Linked DNA regions of Drosophila melanogaster. The protein of the gene in region 1 purifies or fractionates together with the protein of each later gene. This does not show direct contact. Each region holds a gene or a part of one and is shown in the gene's direction. Other genes may lie near its edges.

Region 1 (8,572 bases):
ATTCGTAATATGATTCTGGTTAAACATTGAGCCAACAAGCTTTGGAAAAATAAGGGGGTTATCGCTACTACAAACATTTATAACTTACATGGTGTCCCGGTGCATGTTGACAAAACTACATTCAGATTCAGACAAATTGCGAAAGATTTTACAATGTTAATTTGTACAGTTTGTCATTGTAGTTGTGATTTTAGTTGGGTTGTGTATAAAGCATACTGAATGTACTACACACAGGCGCAGGAAAAGTTTCCAAGCCTACATTAAGCTAGGCAAAAAGTGAAGCATACTTTTATGGGTGGGCAATAAAACTATGTTCTTATCGGTATGAAACTTTTCCTGGTAGCCTGGTGTAAATGGAAGACAGGTCTGTTGTTCAGTTTGTGAAGGAAGGTGGCCGTGTTAGTAGTTGTTAAAGAAAAATATAAATCGAATGCATAAAAGTATATAAAACATCAAACATCAAAGTTAGGTCTCAAATTTAGCTTCCGATTTTCCATGATTTTGGCAGAGTGAAATCAAAAGTAGAAGACATTGAACACAATTTCTGGGCTTCAATACGACGAATTGCTTGCGCCAATCTGAATGCCAATCGTTTTGGGTTTCGGTATGTTACACAGTCCATCCTTACAACAAACACGCATAGCGAATATACAGCACCCATTTGTGTGGGGGAAAAATGGTTCCTCACTTCTTGGCCATCTTAGCTCTTTTCGTTTTCTATCTTTGGCAATTGACTTAAATGCTGTTGGCATTTCACTGGCCAAACTCACCAGACAGGTAGACTCGTGCAGCTTGCCCAGCTTGGGCCGGATAAAGGGCGCTATTTGCCGCCATAGGAATGTTTGCACGGACACCGGCAAGCCGAGGTCCTGCAGTCCACTATCCTGGTCAAAGTCAAAGTCATCGTTGTTGTTGTTCGCCCCATGGCTGTTGTTGTTCGTCTGCAGGTTGTTGTTGTTGGTCGTGTTGCTTGTTGCTCCTCCCGTTGCGGCTGTCCCCGCGGCATTGGTCACCATGGTGGCCAGCTGGAATGGCACAAGGACACAAATCAAATGGCGTGCAACAGCTGGCTGAGCCGAGCCATTCATAAAACCAAGACGGGTTGGGGCATTAGCATATGTGCAACAGGTGTTTGCGTGCGCAGGCCCAACACGCTGCTCCTGTTGATTTCCAATTTGTTTTTCCCAGCGACTAGGTCAGTGCCATCATGGCACTCCCCCGCTGCCGAAAAAACCTACCAAGATTTCGGTCCTGGGACGCTGCGCAGAACGCAGACTCCGCATCAGCGGCGAGAACGAGGCGACTGGGTTATAGATACAGAACTGGGTTTCTGGTATACATGCTAATTTGGGGCAAAAATTTTCACAGACTTATATAACTCGAGCTGGGATTGTGGAAAATTTCACTTTTCCGCAATTAATCGCCGGTGGAACGATCAATTGTTTGGCACTTAGCACACACTCAAATCAAACGTGGCCAACGATTCGCTTGATTGGTGCCGCACCCAGTGGAAATGGCTTCACTTCAACCAACTGGGCTGGGCTCCTTGGACAGTCGTCACTAATTGCAGAACCTTTCATGGGCTGGCGACCGAACAGGGACACTGAAGCACTTTTTGTTTGATTTCAATTTGTGTATTTTTCCGTTTTTGCCCTTTTTTCTGTTGTCTAACGAGTAGTTTTTTTTTTTTTTTTTTAGTTCTGCAAGGGCTTACCTTGATTTGCGCGTTGCCAGTTTCGGATAACGTTTACGGCTGAAGCGTTCGGATGCAACTGAGACAAGCGTCGTTAACTGACGAGCTCTGAGCTCCCCGTCGTTGTTATCCTCTCAGCCGGCCGCGTCCTCCGTTTGCCATCGTTTCCAATGCCGACAGCAGCAGGCCAGCAGTGCGTATACAGGATATTTTGCCGAGAAACACACACAAACGCAGAGAGTCGTACAACCACCCGCACTCAGTATTAAGTATACGCACTGAATGGACGGGAAAAAAGGCTGCTCTCCGTGTAAGGGGTGTCCTTGCACTTGTTATGGCATGCCATAACACACTCTCCCATCGGGACACCCTGTTTGCGAAGCACACTTATCAATGATAACAAATGCCTGAGGATGGGCATTGCGTATACGCCGTGGGGTGGCCATTAGTACTCCTTTGTCTACGAGTCTTTGGGACTGCGACTGCGAATAAATAGTGTAGTATTAAAGTAGTAATGGCCAAAAATAAGTCACTGTCCCTTTCGGACTTGAGTGGAAATTAAATCCATAGCCTTTGTTCATTAATTAATCTTCTAGCTGATTAAGCACGCTTTATCCTTGCTAAGTTCTTGCCAAGTTCTTTCTGTATCTTATTTTAAGATAAGCATTTGAGATATATTTTAAATAACTTGATTACCAGCACAAAAAGCCCTTAGTGTAAATGTTGTTTACAGAAATGAGTTCTATAAATACAAGCACACAATTTCAGTCTCAAGGGGCTATTTATCAATGACTTGCGCACATTAATCTGCGCAGATTCGTGGCAACAATCGGCTGCTGATAGCAGATGTTCAATCAAGGACCAAATCGGCCTAAATACTCATGCACCAGTTACCCGCTTGACAACAGGTGGTGCCCCAAGGAGTAAACAATAACAAGGCCAGGGAGGCTGCGCGGCCAAAAGCCGAGCCGAGGACTCAATGGATTGAGAGATAGGACGAGACAGGACAGCCCAGAGAGTGGGTCTGATGAGCATCAGCCGGAAGTTGGGCACACAGCTGGGCTCAAAACTGGGTCAAAGAAGGACCTGTCCGATGGCACGAACATGGACGTGTGTACATCTACATTTACATAGAAAGTCAAGGACATGGGTGCATGGAAATGGATGTGCCGGCAAAGCCAATGGCCTGCTTGGCTTAATTGCCACTTCCTTGCCAGATTTGCCGCCTTTTAAGCACCTCGCTTACCCTTCAGGCTTGATCGGTCATTATATACCTACCACCCACCATTTGCCTATGCAAACAATTCGAGCATTTAGTTGTTGCTGTACATTTTTGCTCTGAATACGCTTCATGTATCTGTGTCATAGTTTTTATAAATAGCACGCATTAAAATGTTGTACAGGCGGCACACACAAGGCACAAGAAGGCGCCTGAGGGGCCAGTAATGCGCCTTCTATGTAGATGAGATGCCAACGAGGAATAGTATGCTTTTGGAGCATGTATAGTGTATAAATATTGAAAAAGGCTGGTGTTCAGGTGTTCTGGCAGCGGACAAACAAGAAATCGGCCATTTAACACCCCCACATACGACCGGCTGACAAAACATTTCGAATGATAACAGGCAAGACCTGAGAAATACGTACGTTTGCCAAAAAGACGATCAGGGTCGATGAGTGTATAAATATATACATGTATAGGCCACATTTATAGTACATAGCCCCATAGCCCCATCTAAACATCTAAACATACCCCGTAAAACCCCAGCATGGAAGCTCAATCTATTGCGCAGCGCTAAACAATCAATTCTCAAACCCATTCTCCTCCCGCCTGAATGAGAAAATATTATATTATCTGCAAAATCATCTGTAACATCGAATGATATTCAACACTATCCGGCTGGGAATGCCACAAGCGATTATTATTTTGCCTTCACGAACGAAATAAAAAGAAATATTCACAGAATAGCCGAAAAAAAACAAAATGCTTAAAAATAGCCCGGCTAGAGAGCGGACAACAAATGGCTCTGGCTCCATAGGAGAGCCTCCCAATATCTGGTGGTCGTTGGGATCCATGGGATCCCAAAAGAGAGTGGCATTCGAAAAAGTTCCCCCAAGATGAAAGTAAATTCTTGCCATCGCACATACTACAGCATATATTTTGGTGTGTGTATAGCCTTGCGCAGGAAAAGAGCGAGCGTTTCGTCATCCATTCGTATTCGTATTCGTTTTTGAATTCGTTTTCGAAGCTATAGCTGTAAATGTATCTGTATCTGTGTCTGAGTGCTCGGCGATCGGCTGGTTGGCTTTCACCTCAGAATTACCTTGCCGTACTGCCACTGACGAATAACGTTCAGTCGAGACCGAGCTCATCCGCGATACAGTTGATTTTCGCATCAAACAGACAAAATGGTGAGTGCCCAGTCGGCCAAGGAGTCTTCACACATCTTCCACCAATATCCAGTGATATAGATGTACATAAATATATGCAGCAGCTGAAAACTGAAGATTTTCCACACTCGAACTAATGCCAAACTCTCAAATCTTTTTCGATTCCGTTGACAGGCTGATGTTCCAAAGCGTGAAGTTGAAAGTAAGTTAAAACCCCGCACGAAAAGGATTATCTTTAACCTCAAACGAAATCCATCAAAGTTAAACCAACATATTAAATGAACGAGGTAACGGAAAACCCAGCAGAAAGGACTAAAAACAAGTATTATAATATCCATAAAAATACAGATTACATAATGTGCGCGTGTGAGATACACAACAAAAAGTACACAAAAGTCGGTGAACATATTTCGTAATCACTTGGAATATATCGCATACATATACGCATGCCTATATATATAACACTATGCGGAAAATTTTCATTAAGGAATGCTGTCGTCTATATGCATCGCCTGAGCTATTTTCATCGATCGACCATCCAAAACCAGAACGGATAAAGGTTGCCAACACAATTCCGGTAGAGAAAATCTAGTGCAAAGTTAAGTTTGATTTGCGTTATAGAAAAGCCGCGGAAAACAATGAAAATCGTGTGTGTATATGTCGCGAACCCGAACGCGCGATCCTCGTCTTCGAGCCGAAATGCTTCTCGTTTAGAGATCTAATTTTGGCCAAGTTATTTCTTTAGATTTATTTTCGATCAAACGCACAGCGAAAGAGATGAGCAAACTATGCGACTTTGTGTGTGTATATACGCCTATATACTGTGTATATAGCGCAGACGAGGGCGAAGGCGTTCGGTTCGGGTGTCGGATTACGTATACGTAGTGTGTTCTCGGGGCTGGCAACTCTCCCAGATCCGCACTCACGCATACACTCACACACTAAGTAGGCAATGCCCAGCAGCCATGTCAAGATTTTCATGATGACCAAAAATGTGCGTACCAGAAATTTCAGGGTTACCACATCGACCCCGTTTTCGAAAATAAAAAGGGTGGTCAACACCCACCTCTGCTAAAGTATTTTTAAAAACAATTAATGAGGCAGCATAATAAAATGAAACGAATAAAAACAAAAATTTGATGGGATTTACGTTTGATCGACTAACATGAACATGAAGATGTAAATGCTAATCGAGTTCCTTTTGCGCAGATGTCGAATTCGTTTTCGAAGTCATGGGCTCCCCCGGTGAGGGCATTGATGCCGTCGACCTAGGTGATGCCCTCCGCGCTCTGAACTTGAACCCCACCTTGGCGCTGATCGAGAAATTGGGCGGCACCAAGAAGCGCAACGAGAAGAAGATCAAGCTGGATGAGTTCCTGCCCATCTACTCACAGGTCAAGAAGGAGAAGGAGCAGGGCTGCTACGAGGACTTCATTGAGTGCTTGAAGCTCTACGACAAGGAGGAGAACGGCACCATGCTGCTGGCTGAGCTGCAGCACGCCCTGCTGGCGCTTGGTGAGTAATCAACATGCATATATCCTGGGATATCCCTCTAAATCATTGTGTGCATTACAGGTGAGAGCTTGGATGACGAGCAGGTGGAGACCCTGTTCGCTGACTGCATGGATCCCGAGGATGATGAAGGATTTATCCCCTACTCTCGTAAGTATTCGTTCAATGGACGATACTCATCTAATGTTTTTTGTGCATATACGATTTGTAAACGCCGTTTGTCTATTCCACATGTCACTCTTTGTCTGCGCACAAACCAAAAAAATCCCCACCATTCTGCACTGTGCACTTTGTACCACCAACTCGACCTGAAAAACACCAACAAACCTAAAAATATGTGTATGCGTGTATCCATGTTTGCGTGTCCATTCCTCCAACACTACACTCGCAAAAAAAAAAAAAAACCGACCAACTCCCGAATGTCAAACGTATGGTCTCTGCACGGTGATTGCGTCTTGTTTACCCGCCGTTTGTCGCCGATCCACTTGAAATTGAATGAAAACAGAGTTCGTCCAGCGCCTGATGAGCGATCCTGTCGTCTTCGACTAAACAGTAAGTAGGGATGGAGCCCATGGCCACTTCGCCGATCTCTGGATGTCTACTTGTCCAACAAATTTGGGGAATACCTTGCTAATATGGCCCTTTTCTTCGTCTACTCCACAGCATTCCTCGCCAGAATGTGTGACAGACCAGATCAGCTAAAATAGTTGAAAACAACAGCTTCAACAACAACCAACAAACAACAACAACAACAACAACAACACCAACAAACTTTTAGCGACAACCATTCTCCATAGATGTTATATTCATCGCTAACTCTCTCTATCTCTCTCGTATATTATTTTAATTAAAAATTACTTCTGCTACTACAACTGCAAAATTGAACTTCAAGATAATATTATTTTTTAAAAAATAAAAAAATTTAAATTATAAAATAACGAAAACAAAAAAACTGAAAAATATTCAAAGTTTTGTGCACATTATTTTGTTATGAATTATTTTGTTGGTTCAGCCAAAAGCAAAGCAATAGTTAATGATTATTTTATATGAGACGTGAATAAACCAAATAGCAAATAATATAATGTTTAGGCAAATTCAACATCCGAAAGCGTCCAAAAAGGGCAGTTAGCAAAACGCCAAATGTGTAAATTGTGGCCTTTTTGCGTTCTCAATTTACCAAGTGAATGTGTGAAAGTGAAATAAGTCAAATGTATTTAAATAAACACTAAGAATAATTGTGCGGCCGATGAGGTGTTGCACAATCAATATAAAAGAAGATCAGGGTGGTGGAAAATTTGGGATTATGCTATATAGGCAGCCAATATTAATACAAGATGTGGCTGACTTGTTTAATAAACTAAAAGTAATAGAGAAAGTTTAAAAATCTTATACTGAATCCACAAAGAAATATCTAGATATTTTCGCCGCAGACTGCAATACTTCAGCTGAGACACAAACCACCAACGAGAAGCAGGCGAAAGACTAAAATACCGTGTACTAAAATGTCGTTTTCGCTTTTTCTCAACGAGAGAGAGCTTTCGAAATGTTTGTTAAGCTTAGAGCTTGGTTAATATGGTTTTTGTCTCTACTTTCGTAATTATTATTTATTTATTATATTAAAATAGTAAGTGTAAGAAGGGGTGGAAATACCCGCATCCTGGTATCTACCTTCCTCGTCTAGTCAACAATAACAATTATAAACTAATCACAAAAATAGCTTGGGGGTTGAGATTCCGCTGAGCTTTTGCGTCGACGTCGAATCAAAAAAGTGTCAGAAAAGTTTCGGTTAAATACGACGACTACGAATCAGTTGAAATCGAGATAACAAACCGACAAGCCGACCGAGCGGGAGCTGTCTCGCTTTTTTTAAAAATTTGCACCAGCAAAAATCCAAATAAATTAGCAGAGTGCCAGTGAAGTAAGTGAGCGTGAGTGCGCCAAGTCAAAATATAAATATTGTCATTTACGCCGTTTCAAAATATATTTCCGCGAGCATTTCTCGAATCGAAAGTGAACCCAAAATATATTATTCCAAGTGAAAAGGACTAGCCCAAAGATACACACACACACACACAGGAAAAATACCGACAGATCTGTAGTCCTTTTCGAGTTTTCCCGTGAGTGCAACAAATACAGACACACCACACACACACTCGTTCGACTTTCAATATGGCGGATGTCCTGGAGAAAAGCTCACTGCTGGATGCTGTGCCACCACTAGGCGACCCCCACCCACCGCTGCCCCACCAGCAGCTGCAACAGGAAGCAGCAGCAGCAGCAGCAGCAAATGCCGCACCACCAGCACCACCGCAGCAGCAACAACCACCACCCCATCAGCTGCAGCAGCAGCAGCCGCAACAACAGCAACTGCAACAGAAGCCAGCAAATGCGAGGGCTAATCAGGATCAAAAAGGTGAGGGCGTTGCAAGATACACAGAAAAGAAATGGTTCAGATTAAACCATATATATAGAAATTATTATTAGTTAAGTGTCAAAACATATAACTACCTTGCTATGTGTGCAGTTATGTGGTATTTACCTGAATTTAGTAAGTAAAAGTGACTTCACAGCGCATTACGCATACGCCGCGTGTGCTTTAGAAAATCAATTAGGAAAGTTCAAGGCACGCCTCCGTAGCCCAGTTGCAGCGGTGATAGCGATGGCTATGGCTCAATTAGGCAAATTATATTGCCGGCACACCCCAGGACATTGATGGTTATGTCAGGCGAGCATGCAGGCCATAAGACTCACGTCATGCCCGCCACATTATGCAAATAGATTTGGCCGGTTCAGCGCTCTGTGTGTGTTTGATCTGTTTGAGTAACCGCTTAGACCGGCAAGTTTACGGCTTTTGGGGCGCAGCTCAAAGGGGGGCTCGACTGCCGGCAGGATGTGGAAGTTGTGGCTGCATTGTGCATTGTGGTATCCCAGCTCTCGGTTTAATGACCTGCAACTGTGGCAAGCCATCAACCACCCACA
Region 2 (6,099 bases), on another chromosome or scaffold:
GGAAAAGCGAAGCAAAGTCCGCGCCGCGTTTTTCGTATATAAGTTGCCACAATTTGGTAGTCGAAATCAGAATCAACTCGTTCGCTGAGTATTCAACAAGCACTTCTCCTTCAACAACCCAACTTCAACACCCACCCCAAACAAACAACATGAAGGTGAGGACATTGGCAGGAGTGTTCTAAGATTTTCAAAAACTTTTTGAAAATTTTCAAGAGTTTCTACGAAATTATCCTGGTGATCTAACTAATTTCGGTAATTAATCCGTTTTCCAGTTCGCCGTTGCCGTAGTCATGTTCGTGTGCGCCCTGGCTGGAGCTCATGCCTCGTGGGCCCAGATCGCTCCCGGTGTGTCCTATGTGAGCCCCGTGGCCCATGGAGCCGGTCTGTGGAACGGAGCCTGGAATGGTGCCTGGAACGGTGCCTGGAACGGCGCCTGGAACGGTGCTCCCTGGGGTGCCCCTGCCGCCGTTGCCGTCCATGCCAGCGCTGCTCCCTGGGGTCTGACCGGTGCCGGATGGCACGGCGCTGCTGTTCCCGGAATCAACCTGGCCCAGGGACCCGGTCTCGCCGCCGGCCATGGCCATGAGGGCGTCTATGTGGCCAAGACCCGTGGTGCCATCCACACCGCTCCCCTCGCCGGACACATCAACTCTGCCACCTCCGTGAACGTGGCCCCTGCCCCCGGAACTCTGTAAGTCGGGAGTGACGGATAAACCATACCCAAACCGATGCCAAACGGAGCGGATGGATGGCAGTATCACTGATCTCCACCTGCTTCAGCGACTTCCCACGACTACTCCAACCGGATGAATACCCATCTCTCTCTGTACACTTATTGTTAAGCACACCGCTCTTAGTCCCAACCCCCTCGATACGAACACGATCCTGATCTTGGGTCCATGTCCATATCCTCTGGACATTTTCCAACGCACTCAGCAATATATAAGTCCAACAGCAATTACAACAACTACAACAAACCAACAAACGACAGCATGTTAATTTTCTTTTTTGAGAACTCTTTCAATACTTCCCATCTGCTATCCTGTCTTCCTCTTCTTTACATCTATCACTATATACTTCTTATATCTATCACTATCTGGCATATCGCCCTAGATATGCCCTGTCAACCTGTAAATATCCCATTGTAATCTAGTAATCTGCAACAATGTAAAGATTGACGAAAACGTTATAAATAAAAGCAATCAGCGTTTTTTATACGACATAAATATTGTGTTTTTGCAAAAATGGGGTTAAAAAAAAAGTTACTACTATCCAACTAAGGAGATTCTTCTTTAACAAAAGATAAAAGTACCTGTTAATGTATATTTTAGGTTTAATTTCATCTGAGGCATCATCTGAGGTTTGGACTTGTTTTTAAATACAATTCAATATATAATTAAGCTATGATTGCTAGATAGCTTAATACTTTTGTACGATATGCCAAGATGTTTAATGTTTTAATCTTTTACTTGGACAACCTCAAACAATCCCATATTGGAATGATTGTTTAGCTCTCATTAAATACATCTAGATCATAAACTGCATATTAGTTAATTATAACCTTGGGTCTTTAGTTTGCACCTGCTCGACCTTGAAAAGCCGACAAATTGTTCTATTGATTTCATATCTGCCAAGAATGTCTAGATCAAATGTGTCTTTGTCTTTAAGTGTCTATTATTATAGTGACAATCCTAATTTGCTTGGCAGTACTATCGGCCACAGCTGAACGGTAGTCAAGCTGGGGGCCAATGGTCATTAGATCGAGTTAATTGGTACAAAGCCAGATCATATGCACGTATTGGGCCACAGGGCGTATGCTTAATTATGCAAACGCTTAGCGCTAATTACAAATCGCACAAAGACCAAGTTTCAATTTTAGTCAGCACCTGGGCTTCTGGTATAGGAAAATAATTGGCACATGGAGTAAATTATAGTAGTCGCTAATTACAGATTATCATCGCACCGAAAGAATTCAACTTGAACTTTTTTGGTGTTTTTGGTGTCTCAGAGATTTTGCCAAGACTCGACAATCGATCTCACCCACATTAGCATCGAAACAAGTTTTTCCCCTCATGCAGTTTTTTTTGGGCATAATTGAATTGTCTTTGCTGGGTTCAATTTGCACTAAAGTCTGACTTAATTGCGGCACCTAATGGGTTTGCGATATATTTATGTGGGCTGTTCCGGGCTGCAGTAACCCACGCTCCAGACCCATTTCAGACAATTGAATGTTGCGCAATGTCGATTCCATTAGGTAATCGGAGGTGGAAATAATTAGGGAAATAGCCTGGAAAAGCGGATTAACCTGGAATGCCTTTCAGCTGTGTTAATTGCAAGTTTTGGTTAATTTATAGCCAACAAGCGGCTTATGCACACACGAATTTGTAGATGTCATGAAACGAATTGCAAACTTTTGTCTCTTGGATTCGAATTCTAAATAGTTACACTAGTCCAATTGATTATAATCTACTTTTTGTTATTCGGCTTAAAATTTTAATATTAACTCTTTAAAATATTAGAAACAGATTTATAGATCAGTTCTGTTCAAATGGAATAATATATTTCAGCTCTTAATTTTCCCATAATTATATTTCAATATCGATCGATAAAGTGGGCTGTTCCTCGCATATCATTAACCCTTAAGACACATAAATCAGATATTAGCCGGCCTTATACAGGATACGGATCGCTCCATAATTGGAATCGTGTTATAAATCATACTGAAATGCTAATCGCGCACAAACAACAATTAAGTAATTAAAGTGGCGGTGTGATGGAGTGAAAATCAACTTACCGGAACTGCAGCTGAAAAGTGGGTTGGGCCATTCACTTAGACAGTTGGACCCACATGGCCACGGAGATGGAAACACACTCACTGAGAATGCATTTTCTGTGGTGGTGCATGTTTGAGTGGTGCGGAAATAGAGGTTCACTACCGAGTTAGTTCATTTTTGAGAGGGTTATTGTTAAAAACCCCACCTTAAAGATACAAATTAGGTAACCTAACTTCTTGTCACAATCCTCTCTTCTTCATTTATTTTTTTATTCTTTAGAAAATAAATGTACGTATTTCGATTAGTACAATAAGCTAATAACAAAGTATTGTAGATGTAGAACTAGTTCTTGAATTCAACCGCTTTGAAGGCGTTCAACCTAGCCGTTTGATCCGATTCGATACGATACGATCCGTTCAGATCCGAGGCATGTCATTACAGCTGATCATATGCATGCGGAGCAGTGTCAGCCGTGTCCACCATGTCATGGTGTGTGAACTCTCACTTTCATGAACCCTCCGACTTGGCGGTTTTCTATTGCTGATGTGGTCAGCAGTTGGGTATAAAACTGGCCGGCAGCTCCGTTGACAGATCAGTTCAGAACAAGAGTTCAACCAGAGCGCAACCCAAAACCCACAAACAGCACCATGAAAGTGAGTTATCAAACGGATTTATCCTGATAATTAACAACAACATAGCTTGGATTAATATTAGTAATTCAACAAGGAAGTTTTACTCATAAGACTAAACAATATATTTTGCATTATACAGTTCGCCGTCGCCGTTATCTTCACCTTGGCCCTCGCCATGGGCGTGCAGTCGTCTGTGATCCCCCTGCTGTCCCAGGTGGCTGGACATGGACTGTCCTACACCGCCGTTTCCGGACCCGCTGTGGTGGCCTCTCCCTGGGCCGTTCCCGCCGCCCACTGGCCTGCTGCCGTGAACGTGGCTTCGTGGCCTCCGGCAGCGATCCACGCCGCCGCTCCTGCCGTGCTTGCTGCCCCTGCTCCCGCTGTGGTTGCTGCTCATGCTCCCTCAGTCGTCGTGGCCCCAGTGGCTCACAGTGGCGTCTACACTGCCCAGACCCGTGGTGCCATTCACACCGCTCCTCTGGCCGGACACATCCAGTCGGTGGCCTCCATCAATGCCGCTCCCGCACCCGGAACCTTGTAAGGAGTATACCGCCTTCAATCCCTTTGTCGATCGGACCATTGCCTCTGCCACGGATACTGCCATTGATGGGGAAGTCGAACTTTAGACCCCTCAACACGTTATGTAAATACATTGTATATATAGCCATATATAGACAGGGTACTCGCACCTAGCACCTGAACAGGATCCTTTCATACCTGTCCCGAAAAAAAGGAGTCATCAAAATTCTCTTCCGACCTAAGCACCCGGCCACGTTTGTGGTTGCCTATTTCTCTCGCTTACCTATTTATTTAGCATACATTTTCCAAGCATCCTGTGAAAAAACCATCACAAGTTTTCTTCGAACGGAATGCCAAGTGCATTCTGGAAGGAAATGCTTGTACATCTACATAATGCCAATAAAGAAAATGTAACTAAAGTATAAACGTTTTATTTTGGGAAATGTGTAAATAATATTGCGAAGTTGGGAATATTAAATACCCACATATAAATAAAATTGCGACAAATTAACATTATTGCTAACAAATCTTTGATGGTTCCTCATTATAATTTTTCCGCTTTACAGAACATTACATAATATATATTCTTCGTTTGATAAAGCTTTATTTAATGATAATGTAAGTATACAAAGTTTGTTTTGGTCAAGCCAAAATTAAAATAAATAGATGTTGCCTGACAAATTCCCACAGGCTCAATCTATTAGTATACAAAGCCCGTTCGCTCTCAATATATTATCATCGCATATTTACGCCTCCGAATACAATTAATTGACTCATTGCCTCAAATTGACACTACGCTGTTTGCATGCAACCCCTTCCTCCATAATAAAGTGTGATTAGAGCAAAGCCATCGGATCGAATGCTGAAATGTCAAGTTCATGCGCATGCGCAAAGTCCCCAACTGCGTTCAATGCGAAATCCAGCCACAAATCAAATGGAATCAACCCCGCACTTCCTTACCCCCTATATCTTTCGATTTGCTATAGCAGAGTCCAACTGTTGCGTGATTTTCCCCTCCCACTTAGCCAGCCCCTTTTTTTTATTTTTCCCACTTTGAGTTCCAACAGCGGTTTACAAAGTCTCGCGCTTGTTTTTCATGTTTCTAGTTTCGCTTTTGTTGCCGCATTTGGCCGTTGAATGAAATGCGTCAGTGTATCAATAACAGTCCCCGAACTTCCTTCAACTTTTTCTCACCACACCTCCTTTTAAATACACTGAAAAGAACTGTGAATAAAATTGATAAAAAATTTATTATTATTATTAAATATTATATAAGTGTATATGTAGATCAAACTTTTATGCTCTACCTCTAAAGTTCTGTAATTTCGGTAAAATATTTTATTTGTAATATTTTCCTAAAATGATTAAACGTTTTTTTTCTCTGCAATGTCTAGCGATTAAATCTGCTGTATTGAACTGACTGCAATGATTTATTGTACGCCGGCGGCCAAGAGTCAAGCGTCAATCGTGTCGACAGTCTCCCCTTACTTGGAGTCCGACTCGAAAATGGCAAGAAATTTCCTACTGGGCTTCGTTTTGGCAATAGCCGGTAATTGACCGGCAAAGAGAAAATCACACAGAAGTCGCAGGGGGTCAATACGAATTTGACGTACTCTTATGAACGTTCCTATATGCAATTTAGAAAATTGATCCGACATGGGTTAAATAATTACCACTTAATTTAATGTTATAATCGAAAGCAATTTGTTGGTAAAAAATCTTAATTCGAAGTCGATTTGACATACTGAGACTTAGCAAGCTAAATTTTCTTTTAAGTAATCAAAATTAATTTTGGTAGAATATGTTTAGTTTTAAAATATAAGAACATTTTAATATGTTCTGGTAATATTATTGGCCTTATTATTACTTAAACACATAGTCTATAAAATCTGTGTATCACTGATAGCTTATATGTTTTTTCAGACTTAATATAACTTCTTTCCAACACAGAGCATTTAGAAAATTGAACCACAGCTGTTGCTCTTTCTTTCTGTCACTCTTCGCATTTCTCCCGAAGAGTAAAAGTAGCACACAGCAGCGTCTGCGATAAGAGACAGCAGCAACATCTGCAGTAACACAGTAACAGCAACACTAGCAGCAACAGCAGCAACATTCGCATTCGCCTGACATTCGGCGACTATCTGGCTGTGTTTCTACTCTTCAGTTTTCAGTCG
Region 3 (7,716 bases), on another chromosome or scaffold:
GAATCGTGACGGACGGCAAATAATTGCAAAACGCATAGTGTTGACTATTGTGGAAAAAACCCAGAGCGAAAGGCCGCCAAAAAGAAGTTGGCAATAAAGCAGGCGGGGATTGAGTACCGAATCCAGCTGGGCCATAAGGTGCTCGAATTTGATTTCAATATTAATTCCAGCCGTGCGAAAGAGACAGCGCGTCAGCCGAGTGCGAGAGGGAGAAGCAAAAGCAAAGGCAAAGGCAGAGGCAAAGCAGGGTTGTCGCCGGGAAAAAATCATATTGTTAAAGTAGGAAAATCAAAGGCTACTGTGAAATCTTCAGATCTTCAGATTTTGCCAAAACAGGTCGTAAGTGATCAAAACTTATTCAAAGCCAACTCGATATGAATGCCAAGCGCGTGAAGTATTCCATGGTGAAGGAGGAGATCGTGCCCGTGCTTATCGAGCAAGATACCGAGGTTGATCCCGAGGAGGAGCCCGAGGAGGATGAGGAGCACGTTCAAGAAGATGACGGCCAGGAGACGCAATATACGTATGCCTATACCACCGGCGACGACGATGACACCGAAACTGCGGTGGTGACCCTCAGCGATCGTGACCACGAGGCGCTGGTCAATGCCGAGGAGGTGATTATCGATGAGAACGGTCACGCGGTGACCCTGCAGGAGCTGGTCGAGAACAGCACCGTCGAGGAGGAGACCATCGAACAGGGCGATGGTACACACACCATCCTTCATATTGTGCCCAATATTCATGGCGAGGAGGTCGAGGAGGATGAAGAGCTCGAGGATGGCGAGGAGGTAGAGCATGACGATGAGTTTGTCACCGTCGACCACGAGGGCGGCGAATTGGAGGTTGAAGATGACGAGGTGGGCTCTATTGTGTTCGAGAGTACCATCGACCATGCCGAACAAGATCCGTATGGTCGCAACAAGACCTTCTACTGTCCCAATTGCGGCAATTGCTACAGCGCCGCCGGCTCCCTGAAGCTTCATATGCGCGCCTGCCTGCGGCAGAGGAACGAGATCTCCACCGATGAACGCAAGTGCAAAGTGTGCAGCAAGGTCTTCAACTCGGTTGCCTACCTCAAGGAGCATATGATGCGGCACACGGGCGAGCAGCCCTTCCGCTGCACCCGCTGCTATCGCAAGTTCGTCGAGGAGAGCAAATTTACCGCCCACATGGAGTCGCACAAGCACCAGGACAAGCTCGAGGCCGAAGCGGTGGCCCTGGCCGCCCAGCACGGCGGCAAGAAGGTGGTCGTCAAGGAGTTCCAGTGCGCCTTCTGCTCGCAGAACTTCACCGTCGTCTTCGATGTTGGCCAGGTGAAGAGACGCTATGCCTGCGACGCCTGCCGCGATAAGTACTCTAATGCGGAGGCACTGCGGCAGCACAAGCAGCAGGTGGAGGAGAAGCGCGAGTTCAGCTGCGTACGTTGCGGCCGCAAGTTCGTTTTCGAGGGCTTCCTACAGCGCCATCTGCCCACCTGCGATGGCAGCATCAAGCGTCGAAGGGACATGAAGTAGAGGCGGCCACAACGTGATGAGCACTGGCGGCGTCGGCAGCAGCTGGAGCCGGAGCGTGATGAGCAGAAATCGCCGCCGCCAGTGCGTTACGTTGTTATCAAGCAGGAGTACGTAGATTAGGAGCAGTAGGATTAGCTGGAGCACGAGCTAGTTTCTAATGATTCGCCCATGCAAAACTCGGACACTAGCCGCCCGGGCCAGGAGAAAGGAGCAGCTGCTGTTTATCTACACGCAAACATAAGTCCACACCCATATTGTATTTTTTGGGAGCCACAACGGGGGCCACTGTCGTCAAGCGATTCCAAAGGAAAGGGTTTATCTTTTACCTAGTTGTACACAAATCCACACACACAGTTGTTTTTTTTTTTATATGATTTCAGGCCAACTCTGCGGTTTACAATTGAAGATAAAAGCATGTCGACGGATGTCGATCATGGCCCATGTATAGATATATATTACTTACTTATAATTACGACTACTTAATGTTAGAGCTCACGATCACCCGCTATTGTGTAATAACCCGAAACTCCAAATACTGACACACAAAACGAGCGTCAAATCGATGTTGAATTCAATAAAAAATAAAAATAAAATAAATCAAGAATGTTTTTCAATGGCTCAAGATTTCTTCATTGCTATTTTAATAATCCCTATTGAATCATAAGCATTTCGTAGTGTTTTATGTTGTGAATTTATTATTTTTACTAAGCAGCAGATTTTCAATTAGATTTTAATTTGGTGACACAGCCAACTGGGATTCCCCGCTGTTGGTGCCACCAAATCCATCTAATTTGGCCATTTTTGAGCACTGCCCGTGGGCTATATTGCAGCTGGACGGCAACGCCCCCGGTTTGGTAAAAATCTCTGGCTACCTCGGGTGGTCCAGCACAGGATTTGGATTAAACACACACAAAGAGAATCGGTATTTCAGCCAATCTGATCTGACATTATAATTGGTCGATACTTTCTTTTTTTGGCGCTTAGGCGGATGATCTACAAACAAAAAGGTGCGTGCTTAGGCATTAACTAATCCATTAACTAGGCCGATTTAGGACCAGAGCTTCAAGTGGGCACGCTTGGCGTACGACTTCCAGTCGGAGTGGGCGTAGAACTCCTTGAAAATGGGCGTGACCAGGGTATCCTCGGGCAGGGTCTTGAAAACGGGCTCACCATACCAGGTGCCCACCTCCCAGCCGGGCACGTTCTTCATCAGCTCGGCCTCCTCGTCCCGATTGCGTCGCAACTGGCGCAGGAATTCGCGATCCCGCTCGGCGACCAAAATGGGAAAGATGACATTCTGGGCGGAACGCATCTCGATCTCGTCGCGCTTCACCTTCTTGGCGGTCAAGTAGTAGATGCCCAGGCCAACGGCTGTCACAACCACATAGGTGCCGATGGTGGTGAAGCCTGCCGAGGGATTGATATAGTTACCAGCACATATATGGTTAGATCAATGGGATTTGGAGGAGCTCACCTGTGAAGTAGCTCTTCGGTGGCACGCGGGCAAAGGGTATCTTCTTGTAGCCGCCCGGCGGTGGAAGGTCCTGTTTCGGGGGACAATGCGGCACTGCCGTCGCCATGGTGACTCCTCCTGTGGTACAAAGTATATATCAGTCGGCTGTTTGGCCGGTAAACTGGGACTTACGCTCGAATAAAGGGAAAAAATCTGTTGAATTGTCAAAAAAATGACGTTTTTTGCATAACACCAAGGCAGTGTGGCCTGACTTGGGGCAGGGTAAAATACCAAGTAGTGACGAAAATATACCAAAAAGTGGCGAATACTGCAAACGAAGTTGAAAAATATTTTCTAACGTGAAAAGTTGAGTCAATTTATTTGATTTATATTATATTATTATCGAAAGACAATCACAACAACAAGTCACAGTAGAACGTGCAAACGTTTATACGGTATTACAGTATATACAGTATTCCGAACTGTTTGATACCATCCCTATATTTATCGCAATCGCTTTCCTGTCAAAATAAATTTTTGTATCCTACATCACTAGCTTTCACATTCCCAAAAACAAGAGAAAAAGCGAACTAGAAACTTCGAAATATCGTATATATTTACAGCTAAAAGTAGTAATGTTCGTACGCCGTTTCGGAAATGGCTCTTTGGGCCATCATTTTGCCTTTCAACGACGTTATTTGGCTAAAAATTCTATGTGGGACTCGAAGTCCATTGGGACTCCAAGTTCATTCCGAATGCGTTCCAAAAAGGATAACGTGACTGGCAATCTCAAGGAGCAGCAACAATCGGCGACTCCGGAAACCTTGAACATGCCTGATATGCAGGATGCCCAAGTGAGTTTTCTTTTAATATAAATCTCCCTTCATCTGATTTTTCCATAACAGCGAGAAAGGTGACCAAGACCATATGACCATAAACAAATTTTATTTAATATTTGCCAAGATCTGTTTTTCCAAATTTCGTTCAAAAATGAATCAGTTTTTTGGCCACAACTTTAAAAATATTTGTCCAAATATGGAGTTCCATATCTCGTTGAGCTCGTATTTAAATTCCCTATCAAACTGTATCCACAAATGGAAATTCTATTTTTTGACCATTTTTCGCAAATTTTGATGATGTTACCCCTTACAAAAAATGCGAAAAATTACCAAAAAATTAGTTTTTCCAAATCGGTCAAAAAGTGATTGGGATGGTTAGCCTTCGCAATTAGCTGCTCAAAACAGTTATTCTTTTCGCTTTGTGATCACTTTTAGTCAAGTTATGATTAAAATGCCCATCTATAATTTTGTAATTTTTGCAAAAATAATTTTTTTCGATTTTCCGTCATAAAAGAATCAGTTTTTTTTTGCCATAACTTTAAAAATAATTGTCTGAATACGGAATGCAATACCTCGTCGAGCTCGTATTTAAATTCCCTGTCGAACTGTATCAAAAAATAGGAATTCTATTTTTTGGCCAATTTTTGCAAATTTTGATGATGTTACCCCTTACAAAAAAAAAATTGACCCAAAAATTAATTTCCCTAAATCCTTCAAAAAGTGGTAGGAATCCTAGCACTGCGAATTCGCTACTAAAAGTAAAAAAACTACTAAAACTAAGTAATTAAAACTACTAAATTGTAAACTGTACGACAAGTTTTAACAAAGTTATGATGATAAACGTCTTCGTGAATATCGAACTTTTTATTGATCTGTGGCCTTTTTCGGCAAAGCTTTATTATAAAACTTCAGTTGAAATATGATTATTTTTTACAAAAGTCGGTGTTTGATTTTCCCGCAATAAAAAGATATTTCCCTCACACGACAGTATTTATACTCTATAGCAAACAGACAATGTCAGGGAGCGGTTTAAAATGCATGGAAATGGGGGGTGTCGACTGGGATAGCTAATAGACTTTTTTAAAATTGGAATTGAAAACTAGTCTGCACTCGAGCAAATGTCAATTTATATGGATCTTAGTAGAGCAAAAATGCATCCAAAGCATATAACATCTATTTCAATTAAATAAGTTGCGTGGGCGTTTTTTTTCAAGTACCAGAGCAGGCAGCCCACCTTAAGTGTGACCTTTCTGGGGGAGAGCGGAAAACGCCGTTGCGTGGGAATTAGCGGGTGTTCTTTGCGCTCGTGCCGCCCCTTCCCGCAGAAAATGCGATTGGCGCCATTCAGTTGCCGCGCAGCTGCTAGACGAGAGACCCACGAAAAGAACACTTCACTTCCAGAAAAAGGAAAGCAAATTTTTTTCTGTGTGTGTGTTTTTTTCTAGCCAAGGCGAAAGTGTTTTTCTTCTACTCGCAGCCGTACGTAATCGCATTGCCATGTCGCTCTATCGCATTTCCGCACGGAAATTGTCCGAGGCACAGGTGAGTTCTTCATTTTAACTTTTCGAATTACCCCTTTGCTTTTCGACCAGTGTATCGAATTCCCATGCTTTCCTGGGATCTCTATCCACCTCCTTCCAGTTAGCTAACCGTAAAGTGTGTCGCTTCTGTTGTTAAAACCTTCGTCCTCTCCCCTCCCTTTCGCTCTTCCTCAACCCATCCCTCATCTGATCCTACTCCTCTTTTCCCATCCTCTTCTTCTTCTTCAACACACGTCACGCTGGAATTGAAAAAAAAAGAATTTCCAGACATGTGCTTGCGATTAAGAACTTTATTCTCTTCATTGTTGTTGGCGAATGATAAGTGCTAACGTGTATGCATGTACGTACGTATGTGTGTGCCTGTGTGTATGTGTGTCTTCTAATACATTACATAATCGCCAAATGAAATTCGCCCATTTCTTTTTTTTTTTGGCAACATCGGAATGCCTATAAATAAAAATCTCTATATTCTTTGTGGGTTTAACGAACTTTGTCTCTTTTTGGGCCGCCCGCTTTAAATTTTTTTTTGGTAAATTTCCACAAGTCCGGCTTGATTTTTTTTGGGTCTTATTCTTGTAAATTTACAACAACAAAAACAAATGCCACGGCGCAGAGCGAAGTGAAGAAAAAGAGCGTAAGGCAGAGAGAGTTGGTCGAGCAAGAGAGAGCAGAGAAAAAAACAGAGAATACCATTTTCCCCTTTCATTCGTTCCCGTTTCGTTTCTCATGCGTGTCACTATGCTTATGCTGTGCTTTTGTTGTTGCCAAAAGCGATAGAAGGAAGACACACCATCTCTCTTTTGCAAAAGAGAAGTGTCCGCCGAATGACCTTAAAGCAAAAGGAGGAGCAGCAGCACGCCCACTTACCACCCACCGGCAATGCACATTTGCATGTGAGCGGATTGCATAATGCCAAGAACGAGAAAAATGACAAAAAGAATAGTACTTGCGATTTTGTAATGAGAAAAATCAATAGCACACACACACACACGTACGTACAAATGTACACCCACGGCGTGCACACATACACACAAAAAAGGGCTTGCAGGACGAGCCTCCTTTTGATTTTTTTCGGGGGTGATTTGCTTTCTCTTTGACCTGCGTGGGGTAATAAGTACACAGGCAAAAAAGGAAATTAAGGTCAATGCGGCAACTTTAATAACAAACAAACGTTTGAAAGTGTCCTTTAATAATAACAGAATTATAATAATGTATAATGCATATATGAACAATCAAATACATATAACTTCATTTAAAATTAAAATCAAGGGAAACAGTAATTACAAGTGTAATTTTGACCCAATTTTGTTATTTGTGCAGTCTGCGATAATTATTAAATTAATTATTAATGTATGCTGCAATTATTTCTCGCCGTGTAGATTCCCCAAATGTTATGCACACTCCCCAAATCTTCTTCTTCCTGTTCTGCCGCCGCTGGCCGAGTGCCAAAAAAATGTTGGTGCTGACGCGTTTTATTTAATTTTGTTTTTCTTTTCTCTGCTTTTAGGTTTTTGCTTATTTTGTCTATAAATAATTCTTGTAAATGTTACAGTAGAAAAGGTTTAATTTGTTTGTTTTCCACTTCCAACAATTACATGCAATATATCTACATATTTTATATGCAGCAAATTGGCCAATAACCCACATATTTCTGCCAAGTGTTTAGGCCAAAGCAAAAAAGCGCTGTTTTATTTGCGTTTGACGTAGTTTGACGAAATGGCAACACGCGAAATTTTTTAACGCCTCTCCGCTAATACGTCACAAATCGTGACAACTCTTACGTAACGCCCACAAGCCTTTTTCCTTTTGTTTTTCCAAAACAAACCAAGAGGGGAGAGACAGAGAATTAGAGAGTAAGCGAAAGAGAGAGTGGAAAGTAAGAAGAGTGCCGTTAGAGAGCGGAAAAAGTAAACAGATGATCAAGCGATTGCATAAGAGCAAATGCATAATTTATACACAATTTGTACATTAGCTTTTACGACCGGTGCGCATTTTTGATTAGCGAATCTAAATAGGGATTTTATGACCAGCGGGCAAAGCTCAAGTGGACCATTTTTTCCACCTGGATTAATGCCAATCCAGAATTCTAGTTATGCGCGTGATAACACGCCGCCTTCTTAAACGTCATGGAAAGTTCGAGGGTCCCGAGATACGAGAGATAATGGAACCAAATCATCACTATTTGACCAAACTTCAGATGTTCATGGCTAAAATCCGGCGAAAAAAAACCCCCCCTCCTTGCCATCAGAATAATAAATAATTAATGAATCCCATCGTATATCAACACTTCGTATCAACAGCGTTATGTTTTTTTTTTTTGCTGTTATCAGCTAAGGGTTTCTCCCATCCATAAAGGCTTTATGATC
Region 4 (7,918 bases), on another chromosome or scaffold:
GCGCTGGTTGCCACACGCTCCACAAAACCGCCACCTCCAACTCATAGTCGAGTTCGTGTGTGTGCATCCTAGACTTTCAGTTTTTCGGTTTTGCCTCATATAAATACGCCATGTGGCAGCTACCACAGATCAGTCAGAATTCGGCGCTGCTTCCAAGCGCTAGTCTCATCCCAAAGATTTCGATCAGTCCGTAGACCGAGCTTCAGTTCCAGCTTCAGCTTTAGATACAAGTGGAATATGTTCAAGTTACTCGGCTTGACGCTGCTCATGGCAATGGTGGTCCTTGGGCGACCGGAGCCACCAGTTAACTCGTATCTACCTCCGTCCGATAGCTATGGAGCACCGGGTCAGAGTGGTCCCGGCGGCAGGCCGTCGGATTCCTATGGAGCTCCTGGTGGTGGAAACGGTGGACGGCCCTCAGACAGCTATGGCGCTCCAGGCCAGGGTCAAGGACAGGGACAAGGACAAGGTGGATATGCAGGCAAGCCCTCAGATACCTATGGAGCTCCTGGTGGTGGAAATGGCAACGGAGGTCGTCCATCGAGCAGCTATGGCGCTCCTGGCGGTGGAAACGGTGGTCGTCCTTCGGATACCTACGGTGCTCCTGGTGGCGGAAATGGTGGACGCCCATCGGACACTTATGGTGCTCCTGGTGGTGGTGGAAATGGCAACGGCGGACGACCTTCAAGCAGCTATGGAGCTCCTGGTCAAGGACAAGGCAACGGAAATGGCGGTCGCTCATCGAGCAGCTATGGTGCTCCTGGCGGTGGAAACGGCGGTCGTCCTTCGGATACCTACGGTGCTCCCGGTGGTGGAAACGGTGGTCGTCCTTCGGATACTTACGGCGCTCCTGGTGGCGGCAATAATGGCGGTCGTCCCTCAAGCAGCTACGGCGCTCCTGGTGGTGGAAACGGTGGTCGTCCATCTGACACCTATGGCGCTCCTGGTGGCGGTAACGGAAACGGCAGCGGTGGTCGTCCTTCAAGCAGCTATGGAGCTCCTGGTCAGGGCCAAGGTGGATTTGGTGGTCGTCCATCGGACTCCTATGGTGCTCCTGGTCAGAACCAAAAACCATCAGATTCATATGGCGCCCCTGGTAGCGGCAATGGCAACGGCGGACGTCCTTCGAGCAGCTATGGAGCTCCAGGCTCAGGACCTGGTGGCCGACCCTCCGACTCCTACGGACCCCCAGCTTCTGGATCGGGAGCAGGTGGCGCTGGAGGCAGTGGACCCGGCGGCGCTGACTACGATAACGATGTAAGTGTTTGAGATAGCTTAGCAAATAGGGTATATGGTAAAATGGGATTTGTATACGGGGATCACTGGGTGGAATTGACCACAAGGGAACACCGCTCCACCGCCCACACCGCTGCACACTTGCCCTTGCAAATCTTTGGTAGACTCGTTATCGCTCACCTGCACAGCCATCGGCGTTTAAAGCTTGCATCCCCATAGAAAACTGAATTCTTGATCCCAGACACTCTATCTCTCTGTGTTTCTCTCTTTCTCCACACGCCCCAATCCGTTCTCCATTCTCCATGATCCGCTGTCCATGATCCATGCTCCATGCTCCATGATCCGTTGTACGGCGTTTAGGAGCCCGCCAAGTACGAATTTAATTACCAGGTTGAGGACGCGCCCAGCGGACTCTCGTTCGGGCATTCAGAGATGCGCGACGGTGACTTCACCACCGGCCAGTACAATGTCCTGTTGCCCGACGGAAGGAAGCAAGTAAGCGGCGGCGGCAGCGATGGCGGGCAGCAGAAGGCGATGTGGATCCACCCACTGCTCCACCACCTCATCCTTCTGTCACGGCTAACATTGTTATCTCGTTCTCTTTTCTCTTTGTCTTTCTTAGATTGTGGAGTATGAAGCCGACCAGCAGGGCTACCGGCCACAGATCCGCTACGAAGGCGATGCCAACGATGGCAGTGGTCCCAGCGGTCCTGGAGGTCCTGGCGGTCAGAATCTTGGTGCCGATGGCTACTCCAGTGGACGTCCCGGCAATGGAAATGGCAACGGAAATGGCGGTTACTCCGGTGGACGTCCAGGAGGCCAGGATTTGGGACCTAGTGGATATTCCGGTGGTCGTCCAGGAGGTCAGGATCTAGGCGCCGGTGGCTACTCCAATGGCAAGCCGGGCGGCCAAGACTTGGGACCAGGCGGTTACTCCGGTGGTCGCCCTGGAGGTCAGGACTTGGGTCGAGACGGCTACTCCGGTGGACGTCCAGGTGGACAGGACCTCGGTGCCAGCGGCTACTCCAATGGTAGGCCAGGCGGCAATGGCAACGGTGGATCCGATGGCGGTCGTGTGATCATCGGTGGACGTGTGATAGGCGGCCAGGATGGCGGTGATCAGGGCTACTCCGGCGGACGTCCCGGTGGTCAGGATCTTGGACGTGATGGCTACTCCAGCGGTCGTCCTGGTGGTCGGCCAGGCGGCAACGGCCAGGATAGTCAGGATGGCCAAGGATACTCGAGCGGCAGGCCGGGTCAGGGTGGCCGGAATGGATTCGGACCCGGTGGTCAGAACGGTGACAACGATGGCAGCGGTTATCGGTACTAGGAACGACTCACAGACACATTTAGCTAGATTCCCCGAACATATAGCAATACCTAGTGTTAAGTCCTTCTAGAACTATGTCCCCTACCTATGCCCCTCATCCTTCCGCATCTATTCGTGCCCATTCTATCCCACTTCTTGCTGTCTTTCGCCCATCCATTCAGCCTGCTCAATTCCTCGTAGTCGTAAGTCCCTGTTGATCTAAATGCAAGTGCGAAAAATAACCCAAAAAAAGGAATGAAATGATAAAGCTACTTCCGATGTAAGTAAAGAAATTAAATACATATATATTTTTTATAAAAGTTAAGGACTTTCATTGTTTGGCAAAGGGTCGGTATTTTGGATCATGGGCTACATACATATGTACATTTTTGGAATTTAAGATCGAAGCTTTAAAGGGACATTATAATCAAATTTCGCATTAAACTTTTATCAATGCTAACAAGTTTCAAAAAAGAATTTAAAAAAATTATCAAGACTGAGTTTTTTGGCCATACGGCTCGAGTCAATGCTACATTGTTATCCAGGTTCCCAACCAAAATGTACTAATAAATTTCAATTATAACTTGCTATAACAAGAACATACAAAACAAATTTTAAAATTAATATTTAAAGAAATTATTTGAAAAACAGTTTTAATAATGAATATCTAAGTCATACACTGAGATACATAAAAATATGGAATGGAATCTGATTAAATTATAATGACTTTAAAAAATATATTTAAGAAGCATATTTTACCGTTCGACTTATATTAGTACATTTTCGTGAGTGGTATTTCAAGCCAAAAGCCACACGGTCACACTGTACGTTGGCGTCGGCGTCGCGCGCGGATCGTTTTCGGCTAATTCGCTGCTGAATTTTCGTTGTTCTCGAGTTTTAAAACAAACGAACGAAAGGTGAAGCCAATAAGCGTGGTGAATAGTAATTAAAAAAGCGCGACGCAGTGGCTGTCATCGCATGTACATCGATTATTTGATATAAAATGCACCAGCAGCTGGAGCTCGAAGTGAGTTGAAAGTGCGGGTTACATAGGTGGGGCGGCGAAAGCCTATAAATAACAATATGCATTGCTATTTCGGATTTGGGCGTCGCTATCTTCGTCCATTTGTCGCCCCAAATGCTCCAAGATCCAAGTGGCAAGTGCAATGCGTTGTGCCATTTTTTTTTGTAGTTTGTCGGGGACTGATTACGAAACTACGCCCAAGTGGGTGGTGGGTGGTTGGTTGGTGAGTGGGCGCCACACTTTGCATACAATGAGCTTAGAACCCCAAACGACAGCAAATTGCGTGAGAGTGGCTGCCTGTGTATCCGTGTTTATGTTCGGCTTCCCGTTTTCCGCTTTTCGCGTTCAATTCTATCGATTTATTTCCTCCGCGAAACAAACATTGATTATATTCGAACATACTCGTAAATGTCTCGAAATGTGAATCATCGGGTGGCGGCGGCCAGCGAAACCCACTTGCCACTTCCTTTCGGCGTTAGATCAGGTGATAAGCGGCTTGATAAGAAGATACTCGCAGTCGCAGGCAACGCCTCTGGATTTTTAAGAGCCAGCTGCTGTTGATAAGCACCGCAAAAAACGATGTGCTCCATTCGTATCCCAAATAAATAAAGCATGGAAACACTGCAAAATGTGATATTCATCATTAACTTTGTGGTCTGCCGTTCAAAAATCCAAATGTACTCGTATTACATGCAAGTACTAATTGCAACTTTGCTCTTCTTGGAAATGTAGTGTATATTCTGTAGTATACTACTGTAAAAAAAACCGTCGAATTATTAACATTACATTCCCCAGTCCAAATTCATATCAAGTACGAAGTATTTACTAAATATTCAAACTGCATGCAATTTTCTTTCGGTGCATCTGTTTTGCCCGGACTCGTCCAACAGGATATGTGCGACAGATGTTTTTGAATGCGTTGCCAAGATGCTGAAATGCTGCATTTCAAGGTTTCTCGCCCGTTTCCAATTGCCTTTTGTTCATGCTTATTCCTTGGACTTAAGTACAGCCACTCGACGCAGAAATTGGGTAAGTGGCTCAGTTCTAGGCTCGCTGCTCCGCGACTGGCTGGATGCTCACCAAGTGACCCACTTTGGTGGCTCACATGTGCCATAGATCGCATGTACATATGTATGTATGTACATGTATAAGCAGCTCATGAAACAAATACAAAACACGAGAATAGGAGATGAAAGAAGAAACCCCAGCTCGATTGCTTGGCCTTCCTTGGCATTGTTTTTGTTCAAGCTACTACCCTACAAGTGGGTATTATAATTGCACGCATAAGTTGGCAACGTTATGCTGCAACGGTGAAATCTTAGAAGTCGTATCTTGCATTTGAAACTACTTACATATCTACCTGGCCAAAAATCATGTATCTACCTGTTTTTCCGCGAAAACAGATCTTCAAATCGAAATGCCATCTGTTTAGAAAAAATATGCACAGAACCCAAATTCCGTTTTTCATTTTGTATACAAATTCGGAAGAACCGGAAACGGATGACTATATCACTGGCCTGCCATAAATAACAATTTACGTCTTGTTTATGTGGGAGTATGTTGTGTTTAAGGATGGTATAGGACAAAAGTTGCAAAGATCAAAAGTGGGCTAAAAGTTCTCTTACAAATTGGCTCTGAATGGGATCAGTATAACATAATATATAGAATTGTGCCAATTTTATCTCATAAATAAAGATGTGTTTAGGGTACTCCGCCTTCGATCCTCGAAAGCAGGCTTTCTTGCCTTGCTGCTGCTTTGGCACCTTTCCATTTGTAGTTTCTCTCTTTGTTGTTAACCAGCGTAATTACATGTATTTATTCTGGCATGCATGTGTAAGCAAATAGTTAGACGACTGTCTGATAACGCCCCTCGCTTTTCAATGGGAGATTAGCTAAATGTTTTCCCACTCGTGTAGAAAACCCAAGTCGAAGGCTGATCGTAATAGAGGCTAAGTATTCAGTTTTAATCGCAATCTTTCGAGGCGGTTATTGAACCTGTCAGTTGAATATTTCAATCGCGAATATCACCGGGCGACAGCCACTCGCTTGCCGTTGACCTTGCGAAACGGTCGCTTCTGTAAATATGCATTTCGCCACCCCGCTTTTGAACGGCAAAGAAAGCTGCTCCAGAGATCTTTAACCCCCCTCTTCTAGAGCTGGAGGTCAGTGCGAGTCAGCGAATGGGTTGAACTGCAAATTCCCTTGATGGTCAGTCATCACTTGTCATCATAGCGAATTCCAGTGCTACCCACAAGTTGAAGAATTTATCAATGGAAAATGCCAACACAAGAGAAAAAAAAGAAACGAGAAATCTCACCGAGTTTCCTCAAGATTATGTAGAAATGTGCTCGTCAGTATATGCTATTGTATTTTATTTAAATACAATTGCTAGTCTGATAAACAAAAAACCAAGAATCGAAATCGCCCATAGGCAAATGTGATTTCCTTGAATTCTACAGCTGCGTTATTTGTTTTCTTTTAAGAAATTTGTGTAAAAGCAATAAACACACTGAATTTTCTGTGGGAGTATCGATATAGTGGGCGATGTTTTTGCCTCCAAGCAGGCATACATATGTACATATTTCGCCATATCCCTGACCACGAAAAAAAAAACAATCAGTATTCATTCGCCCATCAAAAGTTTACAAATTCGCATTAAAGGAGCGCGCTGTCTGGCAGGAATTATTTACAAATGCTATGGATTAAATTGTATCCAGTGGGTGGAACTTTACGAGCCCTCAGATGAGGCAAGTAAATCGTTGGGCTTTAATTGCATTGGATGATATCTCCATTAAAACGCCGACCAGCCGAAGGGAAGTCCAGAAGAAAAATGGCACAGATTGGCGCAGATACAGATACATATGTATATGTATGTATGGCCATATATATGAATTCAATAAGGAGAGAAGTGATGTGTATATGGAATAGTTCAAATAGTCAATAAAGTCCATTTGTTCAAAATCTTGAGGCAGTCGTCTGGCATTTTGAAATATAATTCGCATACGCCTGGTGTCTTGTCTACATCTTGTTTCTGTTTTTGTTGCCTTTCCGCCCAATTTGTTTTCAATTCATCTGTATACTACAAATCTAAAATATATAGGACTGTATTTTTTTAATTCTTTTGCTGCAATAGAGATATATATGTATGTAGATTAAATCCCAACTGAGCACAATGAGTTTGAAACGATTTAGAATGGAATTCATAATAGATAAGAACAGCATAAAAACAATATCGTTCCCCAACCGATTTTATTTGCATCCGTCTTGGGAATGTATCTTTTGGATTTCGCCCACACTAGTCTCGAGATATTTGCGCTGTTATTTCAGAGTCGGATAATTCAATTTGCTCAAACGGAAAAGCGCAAAATAATCGAAGGAAACCGCAGGCAGAAGCCCAGATATACCAATGACAAAGTGTGGACGTCATTGCTTTTGATCAGCTTTTGCTTTCAAATGATTATATCTTAATTGAAATTAATCAGACGGGGTCAAAACAGTCAGTCTTAGAGGAATTTTAAATACATATGTGTATTGTGGTTGGTGCAATGATGGGAAATAAATGAATAGTGGTTTCTAGAAGGTTGTACATGCCGATAATGATCCGTAATGTAAGTGGTTACTTTTGTTTTCATTTCATTATTTCAAATAAATATGTTTCTCCTTTAATTACGTAAACGTATATGTACATATGTACATATTGTGTCATTTCTTGATTGTATATTTCGCACTTAAGCGACTGCATTTTGTTTTGTGTTTTTGTGGAAATGAGAAAAATGCCGGAAACGAATGGCTTATTTAAATTTTAATTTTCTATGCCTTGGTCGACGGGTTCATTGAACTGGGCTGAAAACCAATTTGGTTTCTAAACGGGTGACTTGTTTTCCAACCAAACTTTCCGCTGACCGCTGCAGCCCGTGACTTTTTATCAGCGGCTTGCACCCCCGAAAAGCCATTTGACCACTTGAGAGCTACCATAAAAGAGCATGGAATGGTTTCCTCGCACCGCTCGTGACTCACATGGCCCGCTCCATTGGAAATCGAGCAGCGAAGCGTGCCAGAAGCTTCGTTTCGGCTTGCCACCAGTTTTTTCCTATACTTTTTTGTTTTTAATTTCTTTTGTTGTTTTCTGTTACGAATGTTCGTGCAACACAAAAGCCACAATGCAGAACTGAGGAAAACAAACTCGGTTTCAGTCAACAAAAAGTCTGCCCAGTGTGCGGAACACCGAGAGCCAAAACTTAATCACGAAGTTAACTTGAGTCTTGTCCATTACAGTTTTGAAGAGCTTGTCGAAGTGCAACGACAGCCGGAGTTGGCTGCCATGATGCGATACTCGGAAATCTCACGCG

Evidence for each region.
Region 2: the proteins of Mlc1 (region 1) and Acp1 purify together in Drosophila melanogaster (affinity purification with mass spectrometry, with the first as the bait; one large-scale study listed by BioGRID). This does not show direct contact.
Region 3: the proteins of Mlc1 (region 1) and kdn purify together in Drosophila melanogaster (affinity purification with mass spectrometry, with the first as the bait; one large-scale study listed by BioGRID). This does not show direct contact.
Region 4: the proteins of Mlc1 (region 1) and RalGPS purify together in Drosophila melanogaster (affinity purification with mass spectrometry, with the first as the bait; one large-scale study listed by BioGRID). This does not show direct contact.

The regions. Positions count from the first base shown.
Region 1 is NT_033777.3:27,655,640-27,664,211, reverse strand, and holds Mlc1 (myosin alkali light chain 1), read left to right. Parts: upstream 1-4,034; 5' UTR 4,035-4,099; coding exon 4,100-4,102; intron 4,103-4,255; coding exon 4,256-4,283; intron 4,284-5,290; coding exon 5,291-5,596; intron 5,597-5,656; coding exon 5,657-5,743; intron 5,744-6,098; coding exon 6,099-6,142; 3' UTR 6,143-6,145; intron 6,146-6,256; coding exon of another isoform or gene 6,257-6,300; 3' UTR 6,301-7,134; downstream 7,135-8,572. Other genes in the region: unc80 (uncoordinated 80), read right to left, coding at 89-115, 771-1,016.
Region 2 is NT_033779.5:7,738,804-7,744,902, reverse strand, and holds Acp1 (adult cuticle protein 1), read left to right. Parts: upstream 1-3,365; 5' UTR 3,366-3,421; coding exon 3,422-3,427; intron 3,428-3,545; coding exon 3,546-3,947; 3' UTR 3,948-4,341; downstream 4,342-6,099. Other genes in the region: CG7214 (uncharacterized protein), read left to right, coding at 150-155, 273-695. UniProt on the Drosophila melanogaster protein: Component of the cuticle of the adult fruit fly. Could be involved in thickening of the hard adult cuticle.
Region 3 is NC_004354.4:6,347,131-6,354,846, forward strand, and holds the start of kdn (knockdown), read left to right. Parts: upstream 1-3,498; 5' UTR 3,499-3,605; coding exon 3,606-3,824; intron 3,825-5,151; exon of another isoform or gene 5,152-5,306; coding exon of another isoform or gene 5,307-5,351; intron 5,352-7,716. Other genes in the region: CG3847 (uncharacterized protein), read left to right, coding at 375-1,517; ND-B16.6 (NADH dehydrogenase (ubiquinone) B16.6 subunit), read right to left, coding at 2,566-2,924, 2,992-3,097.
Region 4 is NT_033778.4:16,780,311-16,788,228, forward strand, and holds the start of RalGPS (Ral GEF with PH domain and SH3 binding motif), read left to right. Parts: upstream 1-3,360; 5' UTR 3,361-3,572; intron 3,573-4,459; 5' UTR 4,460-4,598; intron 4,599-6,864; exon of another isoform or gene 6,865-7,177; intron 7,178-7,844; 5' UTR 7,845-7,890; coding exon 7,891-7,918. Other genes in the region: resilin, read left to right, coding at 238-1,257, 1,597-1,731, 1,859-2,566.